Oryzias latipes: one gene and its partners. The protein of the gene in region 1 purifies or fractionates together with the protein of each later gene. This does not show direct contact. Links are inferred from orthologs where the notes say so. Each region holds a gene or a part of one and is shown on either strand. Other genes may lie near its edges. The genes, in order: scap, srebf2 and insig1.

Evidence for each region.
Region 2: the proteins of scap (region 1) and srebf2 purify together in Homo sapiens (affinity purification with western blotting; 3 studies listed by BioGRID and IntAct, with this or other methods). This does not show direct contact. The link is inferred for Oryzias latipes from reciprocal best matches to the Homo sapiens genes SCAP and SREBF2.
Region 3: the proteins of scap (region 1) and insig1 purify together in Homo sapiens (affinity purification with western blotting; 11 studies listed by BioGRID and IntAct, with this or other methods). This does not show direct contact. The link is inferred for Oryzias latipes from reciprocal best matches to the Homo sapiens genes SCAP and INSIG1.

What each region holds. Positions count from the first base shown.
Region 1 is NC_019874.2:27,614,204-27,617,858, forward strand, and holds part of scap (sterol regulatory element-binding protein cleavage-activating protein), read right to left. Parts: intron 1,512-3,655; coding exon 971-1,511; intron 745-970; coding exon 659-744; intron 1-658. UniProt on the Homo sapiens protein: Escort protein required for cholesterol as well as lipid homeostasis.
Region 2 is NC_019866.2:19,993,284-19,997,038, reverse strand, and holds the start of srebf2 (sterol regulatory element-binding protein 2), read right to left. Parts: upstream 2,129-3,755; 5' UTR 1,877-2,128; coding exon 1,786-1,876; intron 1-1,785.
Region 3 is NC_019878.2:19,443,429-19,446,857, forward strand, and holds part of insig1 (insulin-induced gene 1 protein), read left to right. Parts: coding exon 1-65; intron 66-480; coding exon 481-580; intron 581-3,429. UniProt on the Homo sapiens protein: Oxysterol-binding protein that mediates feedback control of cholesterol synthesis by controlling both endoplasmic reticulum to Golgi transport of SCAP and degradation of HMGCR.

The DNA of each region.
Region 1 (3,655 bases):
CGTTTGAACACCCCTGTCTTAGAAGACAATAATTCCCAGGTTTACACTCAGTATTCTGTCAATTATTAATATTGTTATTTTACTTTTATTAAAATTGTTTTGTCTATTGGAATTTTTTATTGATATACCGGTACATATTATTATTTGTAATTCTGTCATCATTATTAACATTATGGTAAACTTTATGATATAAATTAATGGTAGTAACTATTCATTTATATGGTGTCTTTTTTATTGATTTATTAGTAACAGTCTTGTCAAATATCCACTGAACTGAGTCACCAACACTCACTGACACAAACACTTTCTTGTTCTCCTGTTTCATTTGGTTGGCATCTGTATGTCATCCTATACAATCACTTTGTCTGTAATGGTGTCTTGTATGTTTTTCACTCCACTATTTCCTTTATCATCCTTCTGCACAGATAATCAATTGTTTTATGCATCTGAACGTTTTTTTATTTTATTTTACTGTGTTTTAATCCATAATTCATAACGTATTTTGATATCCACTGTGTTATTAAATGTTTTCTTGTACTTATATATACATACATTTTAAATTTAGACTAGAAAGATAAACACTTCTTGTTTTAGTAAAACGGATGAAAGACATTTGAATAAAAGGGGGAGGGGTTAGTTGCTCTGCAGGTGTTTTTACCTGTTGTTCAAGAAGGCTAAAGCTGTGATTCCAGAGACTCCGTCTTCATTTCTGCATCGCAGAGACCCTTCCACTGCATCCCACAACTGAAAGACAGGCGCCATGTGTTTCAATACATTGATATGAATATATGTTGTTTAATTGTGAGCTTGGGCAGACAAACTTTGTAAAAATGCCCCTCCTCCCAAATGCAGGTGGAGCATTTTCCTGTCATTGATGGGACATCCAGTCAAATAGGTTCATTTCTGTTGCAAAACTGTAAAAAAAGCTAATTGGCTAATTAAGAGATGCTGAGTGAGGTTTTTCTCCTACTTCCAGTTTGCCGCTGCTCCTCCCAGCAGCTATCAGGTTTCCTCTCAGCTCCATGGCCCACACAGAGCTCTCCCAGTCTGGAGCCGCCTGAGTCCCGGATCCGGAGCCTCTCTCCTGACTCGAAGCCCCGCCTCCATCGCCAACGCTGAGTCTCCTCTGAGGCTGAGCAGCTGAGGACGGCGATGAGGACGCAGAGGAGGCACAGGGGTAGCTGGACGGCGATGGCGGCTCGTGCTCTGTGTACGCCCGCTCCACCAGACTGCCGTAGTCAAAGCCTTCTTTGGGTGGGGTGGACAGGTGAGAAGGGGGCTGGGAGGTGAAGTTGGTGTCAATAAGCGGAGTCAGATCGGGCTGGTCGGTGAAAAGAACCACTCTGGAGGGTGAGGCGCGGCGCCTCAGCGGGAAATAGTCCTCCTCTGAGAGGTTCTCCCCGCCGATGGAGGGATCTCGGCTCTCAAAGCCCAAACCTTCGGGTTCTCTGCTCAAACCATCCAAGCCCTCCCGCTGCTCCCAGCAGCCACTGCTGCTGCTCCGCCTCAGCCTGGGGGGGGGGGGGGGGGGGGGGGGGGGGGGGGGGGGGGCACAGAACTTTGTTAGCTCTAGAGCAAAAGAAATTACTCAAGAGTAAACAGTAAAATGAATCATGACAAAAAGGAACCCTACTTTTACTACAGAATGAGTACTTTCAAATGTACAACCTTTCCCAGAAGTCTATTCCGCTAATGCAGGGGTCGGCAACCTTTTTTACTCAAAGAGCCATTTGGGACCGCCCCTAATGAAAAAAAAAGCACCCGGAGCCACAACCCGTTTTGACATCATTATATATATTATGCATGTATATATTATATCAAGGGTGCTCATTACGTCGATCGCGATCGAATTTCAATGACATAAGTGTAGATTGCGGGCCAGAAAAGATAAAAAAAAAAGTACTTCTTCATGTTTATTTGTTACATGTTTATTTCAACATTATTGTTTATGTACTGATGATTAAAAACTACACAGTGAGTTTACATAAAGATACTTTTGTATTAACAGATAAGGCGTTTTATTACAAAGACAGAAAGCAGCGACCATCGTATTCATGCTCTGCTGTAAACGGTGCAATGCGGGGAGCGTGGCATATTGTGAGGCATTTGGCGCTGTTGGCTCCGTATTGATCAGTATTGATGGGGAACAACGACTACTAATTTAGTGCTCCGTCCTCCGAAAACACAATATATTTCACGCACACACCTCCGCTCCGTGCTGACACCCCCATCTCCACCTGCACGCGCCCCTCCCTCGTGGCACGCGCACCGCTCAGCACAAACACACACTCGGCAACAGTATAAAGCGCGCGCCTCACAGCTTCCTTGATGAGCTCGTATTTATCGGGCGAGAACTGCAGAGCTTATAGCAGGAGGAGAAACGCGGGGCGGCTTTAATAAATTCCGGTTGCTGGACTTCTACCGGGGACATGATGTGCCGCGGGGAGAAAAAGACGTTCTGAAGGCAGAGTTTGCGCTGAGTGCATTTATTTATTTTATTTTTTTTAACTTGTCCTGTCCAACAGCTGGGCAAACAGATGAGAGCTGAGGGCCTCTTGTGTTGGACATATTTTATTTTAACAAGAGGGGTTATTCATCTTCAGACAAACCAAAGGTATGTCTGAATAAACCCCTTTTGTAATTGAGGCCAAACTTTATTAATTTCAATCATGTTTGAAAATCTTTGGTGTTGGACCGGACGGAAAAAGAAAGAGGGGAAGAAGAGAGAGGGACGTTAGAGAGAGGGGGGGGTAGGAGGGTGATAATAGGAGGGGAAGGGGGGTAAGACCATGAAGCAGCATAGAGCAGACAGGTTTACTGGTTGTTTATCGTTACGGTACGGTTCAAATGTAGTACAAAAAGGGCGGGGCCTGTTCACAGACACTCAAATATTATCAACACACCTGCTAGCCGCAAAAATGTCCACATGTCAACATGCACACAAGACAGATAGTGTTCACGAACGCATACCTATGCCTTTAAACCAACTAGTGTGAAATCTTTCATTCATTCAATCATGCAAACTATTAGTGCAAAGGTGAGCTAACACCTGTGCTCAGGTGAGTGTATATGTTCTTCTAAAATGGATGGTGGAATGTGAAAAGAAGGAGGAGGAGCGCCCAGCCACCCCCACACCCATACCCCCGCCGCAGCAGCAGCGGCAGCCGGAATTCCCCCGACGCCACACGGGAACAGGCAGGGAACAACCGCCCCCCGGGCGACCAAGACCGCCACCCAGGCCAGGGCCAGCAGGACCGCCGCGAGGCCCCCAGAGCCAGAGAGCAGGGAGGCGCAGAGGGAAAGAGAGCGCCGCCCCAGCCCAGCCAGGAAAGCAGCCCCCCGCCGCGCCGGAAGAGCCCAACGCAGGGCCCCACCGGAGAGGGACGCCCACAGCCCCAGACGAGCACCCCACCACCACCCAGGAGTTCCGGGCATCCCCCCGCCCCGACCCCAGGTACGAGCCAGGACCCCCCAAGGGAGACCCGCTCCGCACTCCAGGCAGCCACCCACCCGGCCCACGGTTGGTCCAGGTAGGAGCAAGGCAGGGGCCCGCCGCCCCCGCCCAGGAGGGGGGAACCCCGGGGAAAAAAGGGCGGCCCACAAGGGATGTTATAAATATGGCCCGACCAGGCTCGGCCATGTTGGAAGTTTGGCG
Region 2 (3,755 bases), on another chromosome or scaffold:
GTAAATTTTATAATCTAAATATAGGAAATTCATTTTTAGCAGGATCACATACATTTTGAAAGTCCAACAAACAAATCCTTCAAATGATTTTTTTAATAAGAAGGATGACAAAGCTTCTGTTAAGGTATAAATTAATCATTTTAAGACAATCTGGCTAAGATCTGCAATTTATAAAAGCATTTGGAAGAAGTCCTTTTCTTCTATATCTTTAAAACTGGTCATTTTGTTTGCAATTTTATGGCTTTGTAGCATCATTTGATCTTAAAATAACTTGTTTTCCTACTCCTACAGAAAATGTCACGATGGGCAGTGAGTCCTCAGACTCCGCCGGTCACCTGTGGCACATCGGAAAAATGTTGTTTGCCCTTTTTTTGGTTGTTGCCGGGGGAACGCAGACAGTAAACAAAGCGTATAAAGCAATGATCCTTTGTGTCTTAAAATAAACAACTTCATCTCTGAGCGTGTGTTTAAAGAGGTGCAACAAACGCAATAATGGTGTGAAAGTTAGACATAAAGCAGTTTTTTGAACGCATTCTCATGCAGACATGCTCGTCTTCATCCGTACTGTGCAGCAGACGGGACAACACTTCTCTGAGCCTCCAAAGCTTTAAACAAGCAGACACAAAGTAAATCCATCAAAAGGGGGAGCTGAGAGCAAAGAAAATACGTTATGTAACCAACAGTCGAAAAGATTAAAAGACAGGGAAGGGAAGCCAAGGATTTAATCATACAATCAAAAAACAAAAAATGACTTCTAATGTGAGCAAAAGGCTTTGAGAATTTAAATGCATGTAAGGGATGAGAGCTTTAGAAGGTTTGTTTGTTTTAACTCAATGATAGATGTTCTGCTGGTGGGTGCTTTAATGTTTCTTCACCAGTTTGCATTGAAGCAAAAACCAAAATGACAGAATTTCAAAATAAAAGAGCAGTTTCTCACTGCATCTTGATGGTCTCTGCCTCATAATAATGTTATACACCTAGTACCATTCTATAGTTCTCTATGTAGAACACACCCACATTTCATCAGTCCAGTCTGGTGACATTGAATGAGATTCCACACTAATGGGGATCTGGTGACTAGTGTTCAACCAAAAGCTCTGTCCTTTTACCCTCTGACAGATTTGCCTTTGACAATAGTAACAACACATCTGTCTTACCTATCAAAAAACGCAAGGAATGCAGACATCAGTGCAATTCTTAAGTAATTCCTTCATAATAAAGCTGGAAAATAACGACCACAACCTTTTCAACTGTCTTGTTCTTTCTTTAAATATTTTTCATTTTGCTTTACCAATAGAAGCCTATGTTCTGCTAATATTATATTATAATTTTTATGCTATCTTCCTTCATGTTTTATATAAATAATAAACACACAGGTGATGCTTTCTCAGTTTTGACTGACTGGTATTCCTCGACAGCCGCTTTGCCTCATTAAAAAAACGTCAGTTTTGAAAAATGACACTAGTTTGGGTGAATTTCTAGTCATTTTTAATCTCTAGCTTTTTTTTTTTGCACCTTTAATTTAACAAATAACGAAAAATAGCTTTTGTTTAGTAAAATATTGAATGAATCCAACAGGAAACGGAAAAGCAGAGACAAGTTTACGTGTATTTCCCACAAAAATAAACGTAGCTACAAACTAAATTAATAATAAACCCTGTGTGTTAAGAGCTACTGAAATATCTTAGTTTTCTAGGCTTAGAACATATGTGGAAGACGGACACTTACTATAATTAAAAAATAATAACAACACCTGAGTGTGTTGACAAAACCCAGTGAACTCACCGTCAATGTCTCCTAAAGTGAATTCGTCCCCTAATTCCGTTAAGCTCGGGTCCATGTTCTCCACGGTGGAGATGAACTCTCCGGTGTCCATCCTGACAGCAGCAGCTCTCCGGCACTCTCCCGCCGGGGGTTGCCGGACACGACACTCACAAACCACCGCCTCCTCTGAAGGGGCCCTGCCTACAGCTCAGCTACCGGCTAGATATATTTGTTCCGTATCGAAGTAGTCGTAACACAACAATAAACCGCCAAAAGAGGCTGACTTTTACTCCGATAAACACTTTTACATCGATTTACAGCCAAGGCGACGCCATCTTGTTTTACGCTAATTACGTCATTCACAAACATACTCCGGAGCTGAAGCCGGGATCTGATTGGTGGAAACCTAATTGTTCTTGTCATGGGACCAGTCATCAGTGACCAATGACAGAGCGGGATTTACCGTGGTCTGATAGCACGTCAACCATCAGAAGCCTGCGTGTCATTTGAATAAACCGCGCCCCCTGTCTTTATAAAGGAAACAGGAGCAATGGAGAGTCTGATTCGTCAGGCGGTTACTATTTATGAGTTTACATTAATACTGTAATTAAAAGCAGCGATAGAAATAAGCTCAACTTAAATCTTAAAATATTTACTTATGCGAAAATCAAATTTTCTGTTAATATGTGGAACTTTTGTCATTTAATTATTGAATTCTAACCATTTTCTGAATTCTATTTTAATAAAATATTTAAATGATAAAAACGCATATATTTAAATAAGTATTTTTAAAGAAACTAATGCTTGTAAAACCTAAAATAATATAAAACTTGTATTTAACATTTAAATGTGTTCTTTTTTTGCAGTATTCAACAGTTAATAAAGGACTGAACAACAAGCTTGTATATATACATGAAGAATAAAAAAGGCAAAAAAAAGGGTCTAAAATATAAGAGCGGTAGAGTTTATCCTGTCACCTCACCATTTGGCTGCTTTGTGTTGCGTGTAAATACCGTTTCGCACATTTACTCGCTTGTAAAGCATCGGTGCTACATCAGCACAATAACTCACCCAGTCACAGGTACCGTAAGTCTACAAATCTGCAGTGTGAGAAGTTCATTTGAGCAGCCTTCCCATTCATAATTAGCTGTGTTCCCTCACAACGTCCAGCTCATCCTAACCTGCCATGCAGCCTCCTCATTTAAACCTTAGTGGATATAGTGCTCAGGTTCAACTGCAAGTAAATTAGAAACATCTAACTGCAATGTTGTGGTACACTTGACTCCAGATTTTTTTTTTTGAATTATTTGTTTATTATTTTTATTTATTCGTTCATCTTCTTTACTGTTTTATCCCTTTCAGGGTCATTGGACTGCTGGAGCCTATCCCGGCTACTTGTGGGCAAAGGCAGGGGACACCCTGGACGGGTCGCCAGTCTGTCGCCATCACACACCCATGTACACTCACACCTAGGTACCATTTAGAGTCACCAATTAACCTATGAAGCAGTGGGAGGAAGCTGGAGTCCCCTGGGAGAACACAGAAAGGTCCTCCATTGATGTTCTGTTTTAGGTCTCCCAGCCGGGGGCCTTCTTGATGTGAGGCAAAAGCCTTTAGAAATAGAACATTAGAAGACAGGTTTAAGGTGTTTTATATCAAAAAACAGAAATAAATCAGCATACATTCAAGTCATTTTACATACTTTTTATTATTTAGTGCATATTGTGCTTAAAATACTTTTGTTCCATTATGTGGAGAAATGGTAACAAAAAACACTTAACGGTAAATGCCAGTTGGTAAACAGAATTAAATCAGTCATTTGAAAAATACATAATCGTTAATGTAGGAAAACTAAAGAAGTGCATGTTTATCTGTTAGGAAACATAAGAATAATAAATTTTAAAAATAATTTCCTGGTTCTAGATGGTCCAAACCAGAGGTAGGAACAGAAGTCCAAAGCTCCTGTTTGGGCTATATAATAAATGTTAGAC
Region 3 (3,429 bases), on another chromosome or scaffold:
GGCATCACCACCGCCTTCCTCGCTACTGTCATCACACAACTGCTGGTCTACAATGGCGTTTACCAGTAAGTCAGCCTTTTTTCAGGGGAGATTTGGAGCAACAACGTGTGGTTTCAATGTTGTGTGAACAAACAAGAATGTTTCTCTCTTATGGCTGATTCTCAACACTAATAAGTGATTGTGCAGTAGTAAAAGTTGACCTTTGTCACTTAGAATCCATTTAACTGACTGGTTACTAATGTTATTGGATGCAATCTGTTTTTTTTTCTTCTCCGCTTTGAAGACTTTTATTTTTAGATGATCTCATTCTTCAAATTCACATGGGTAGTTGCGTAACATTTAGCCCTGCTTACATGGTGAACAGCAGAACGGCACACCAGAGGATCAGAACATTTCTATGAGAGATTGTTGACATTTTTAATCCATCCGCCTCGCGATACCTGCAATTATCTGACCCTTGATTCCTTCTCTTTGCTGTAGGTACACATCTCCAGATTTCCTTTATGTGCGCTCGTGGCTGCCGTGCATATTCTTCTCAGGCGGTGTGACTGTGGGGAACATAGGACGCCAGCTTGCCATGGTAAAGCCCTCTGTCAGTTGTTTTTCTTGTAAAGAGTCGCACAGACAAACCTAACTGCCTAAGTCTAAAGCTGCATTCACACCAAACACGATTTGCTTTGCGAATCCGCGTCCTCCGCCTCTATTTTGCCGCGCAGCGAATTCTCTGCTGGACGCTGGTTGAAAAAGGTGTTCATAAATCTGACGCTCCCGCCCGCCGTGTGTGGGAGGAGCTTCTGTCCAACGTCTTCAGCTTCATTGCTACATTGCTCTACAAAAACATCATTAATCACGTCTCCATGTCTGGGTTCATGAGATCATTCAGAGGCTCTCGCAGTACGGTGATCTTCACCGTCTACTGCAGGAGTTGCGTCTGAATGGCGGACGCTTTCAGCGGTACTTCCGTCTCTCTGTGACCCACTTTTGAAGACCTGGTGTCCCGCATTATTCTGAGGAGTGACAAATAAAAACAAAAATAAAATTAGAGGCACTTTTTATTTTGTATCCAGACAAATAAGAAAAATATCTTAACGATCAGTTTCTCCTCCCTGGTGGTTTTGGACTCCACCCGTTGATTACATTATCAAGACGTCACGGGCAAAAGACTGCCAAACTTCAGAAATGTGTATTTCACTGCGCCTCACTCAACACTTAGATTGTTCCGTAGGAGCTCTGATTGCATCTGTACATTGACTGCAGTGAAACTGGACGACTCTGCCGCGTGAATCTCGTTTGGTGGGAATGCAGCTTAACATCTAACCTGCTGCTCAAAACAGGTGAACTGTACTACACCAGAAGACTCACTGTTGGGGCTAAAAAAAAGCTTGTTGTAGAGTTGCAGAGTTTGTTTTCAGCCTCCTTTTAGACTGGTGTGCCTCTGAGGTGTGCACACAAAATTCCAAAACAGCAACAATGTCAGTCAGAATATATCTGAATGTGAAGCAGGAAATGTTTTATGGACTTCCTGAAACAATAAATCCATCTACTTGACCAGCATGTGGTGATGTTGATTAGGGGCTGCAGCACAATAGTCTGTAATGTTAGATTCTTATTTTGCTATTTTATTGGTTAAAATTTGTATATTTCTGTCACAACATCTTCATTTAAAAAAAATTAAATTACAGTTTTCCCTAGTTTGTCGCTGTAGTTACCTTCAAAAAGTTACCTGCAATAGGTATTTAATGATTTTTTTTAACAATAAATAAGCCCTCACAACACACTTTATACCATTTTCTCTTAAAGACATTAATATTTTTGCACTTTTTTTCTCAAATCTTTATAGAAAATCCCATCCTGTTATTATAGAATGAAAACAAAAATCTGATTGAGATTTGAAGATTTATGTCACTTTGGGAAAAGTAACATATTCTGTACAGCATATTCTGCACGGAGGGGATTGGTTGACAAGGTCAACGGCCAATCAGGATGCAGAACTCAATGCACTGGGGCAAAACTGCACAAAAAATCCACAAAATATGTCCCCCTAATATAGCGAGGGAACACTTTATCAAAACTTTCAAACTCTTCAAGGTGGTTCAATAACTGAAATGTATGTCACGATTTTAACATTCAACGTTTTAACCCTTTCAGTTCTTTTCAAGCAGTTTGATCAAGTTCTGGTTCTGAATATTGAACTTTAACATCATTAGTGTTTTCTTTGCTACACGTTTGTCATCCTATGAAAATACACCACAAAAAAACACAATTCTCTTACTCAATAAGGCACAATCTGCATTCAGTGAGCGAATACAATTATTTGCACACTTTCCATTTCACTCCACAAAATCCTGTAGCATCTGAGGAAAGGCGGGGGGGGGGGGGGGGGGGGGGGGTTATTGGTGAGTTTGTTTAACCATCAGTTGAAATGAAAGAGAAAATAAATCTAAAGTGTCTCATCTTCATTTTCCACTCCTTTAAAGAGTAGAACCAGTTCTGTAGGTGTTTCTGGTTTGATTTGCAACAGTCAGGTGTTTCTCTTAATCTTGATTAACTTTTTTTTTTAATTTGTCTGTTTGTTTTTAAAAGTTTACACTTTTTTGATTGTCACAAAAACCGGCTCCTGTGTTTATTACTTAGCAGCAGCCAGTCACAAAATATTCCAAAAGCCTCTGCTGCAGCGAACCCACTTCATATGGAATTATGTAGTTGAGCAAGAGCAGGAGATAAGATTGTAATGGTTTAAATTTGTGCAAAGAGCATTGGACACCCTCCTCTCCTTTATAATTACCCCATCAAGTCGGCTTGATGTCTTCATTAAGCTCGTGCCCGGAAGCCTCACCTCATTCTGTCTGTAAAGCCAGAGCGCCGTCACTCCCTCAGTTTGACTCGGTAAAAGCGTGAAAGCAGATTAAGAGCTGTTGTTTCTCACAGCCGCCGGGAGACACAGAGCCAGTCGGGACTCGGCTGACCGAAGGGTCATTTGCTGCTTGTTGTTTTTGTTTGTGATGAGGCCCGAGGACTGTTGGCACAAGTCTGAACTCGCACTTTTCAGCCTTTTCTTTTTCTCTCCTCCTTCCGCTCCATGGCGTCATTTATGAGAAGGATCAGGAGGAACCTGAGACTTTATTTCTATTCCACTTGTCTAGTTTGCATTTAAGCCGATTCTACTAAAAGAATTTGTCATAATAAAAGGTTTAAGTCATTTTTTAATCGTTTATACTTTCAAATTAAAAACCCAGTCTAATGAAAATTGAGTTTTAGTGTTTTGAACATCTTCTTGTGGCATTTTTGTGATAAAGGAGGACATATATAAAGAAAATTAATCTTAAAATTGAATTCCTGAGTATTTCTTAATTTAAATCGTTTCTTAATCCAATCATTAAAAAAATCGTTGGGCGAGCCAAAGCTCCCTGCTCCGCTCCATTCTGATGC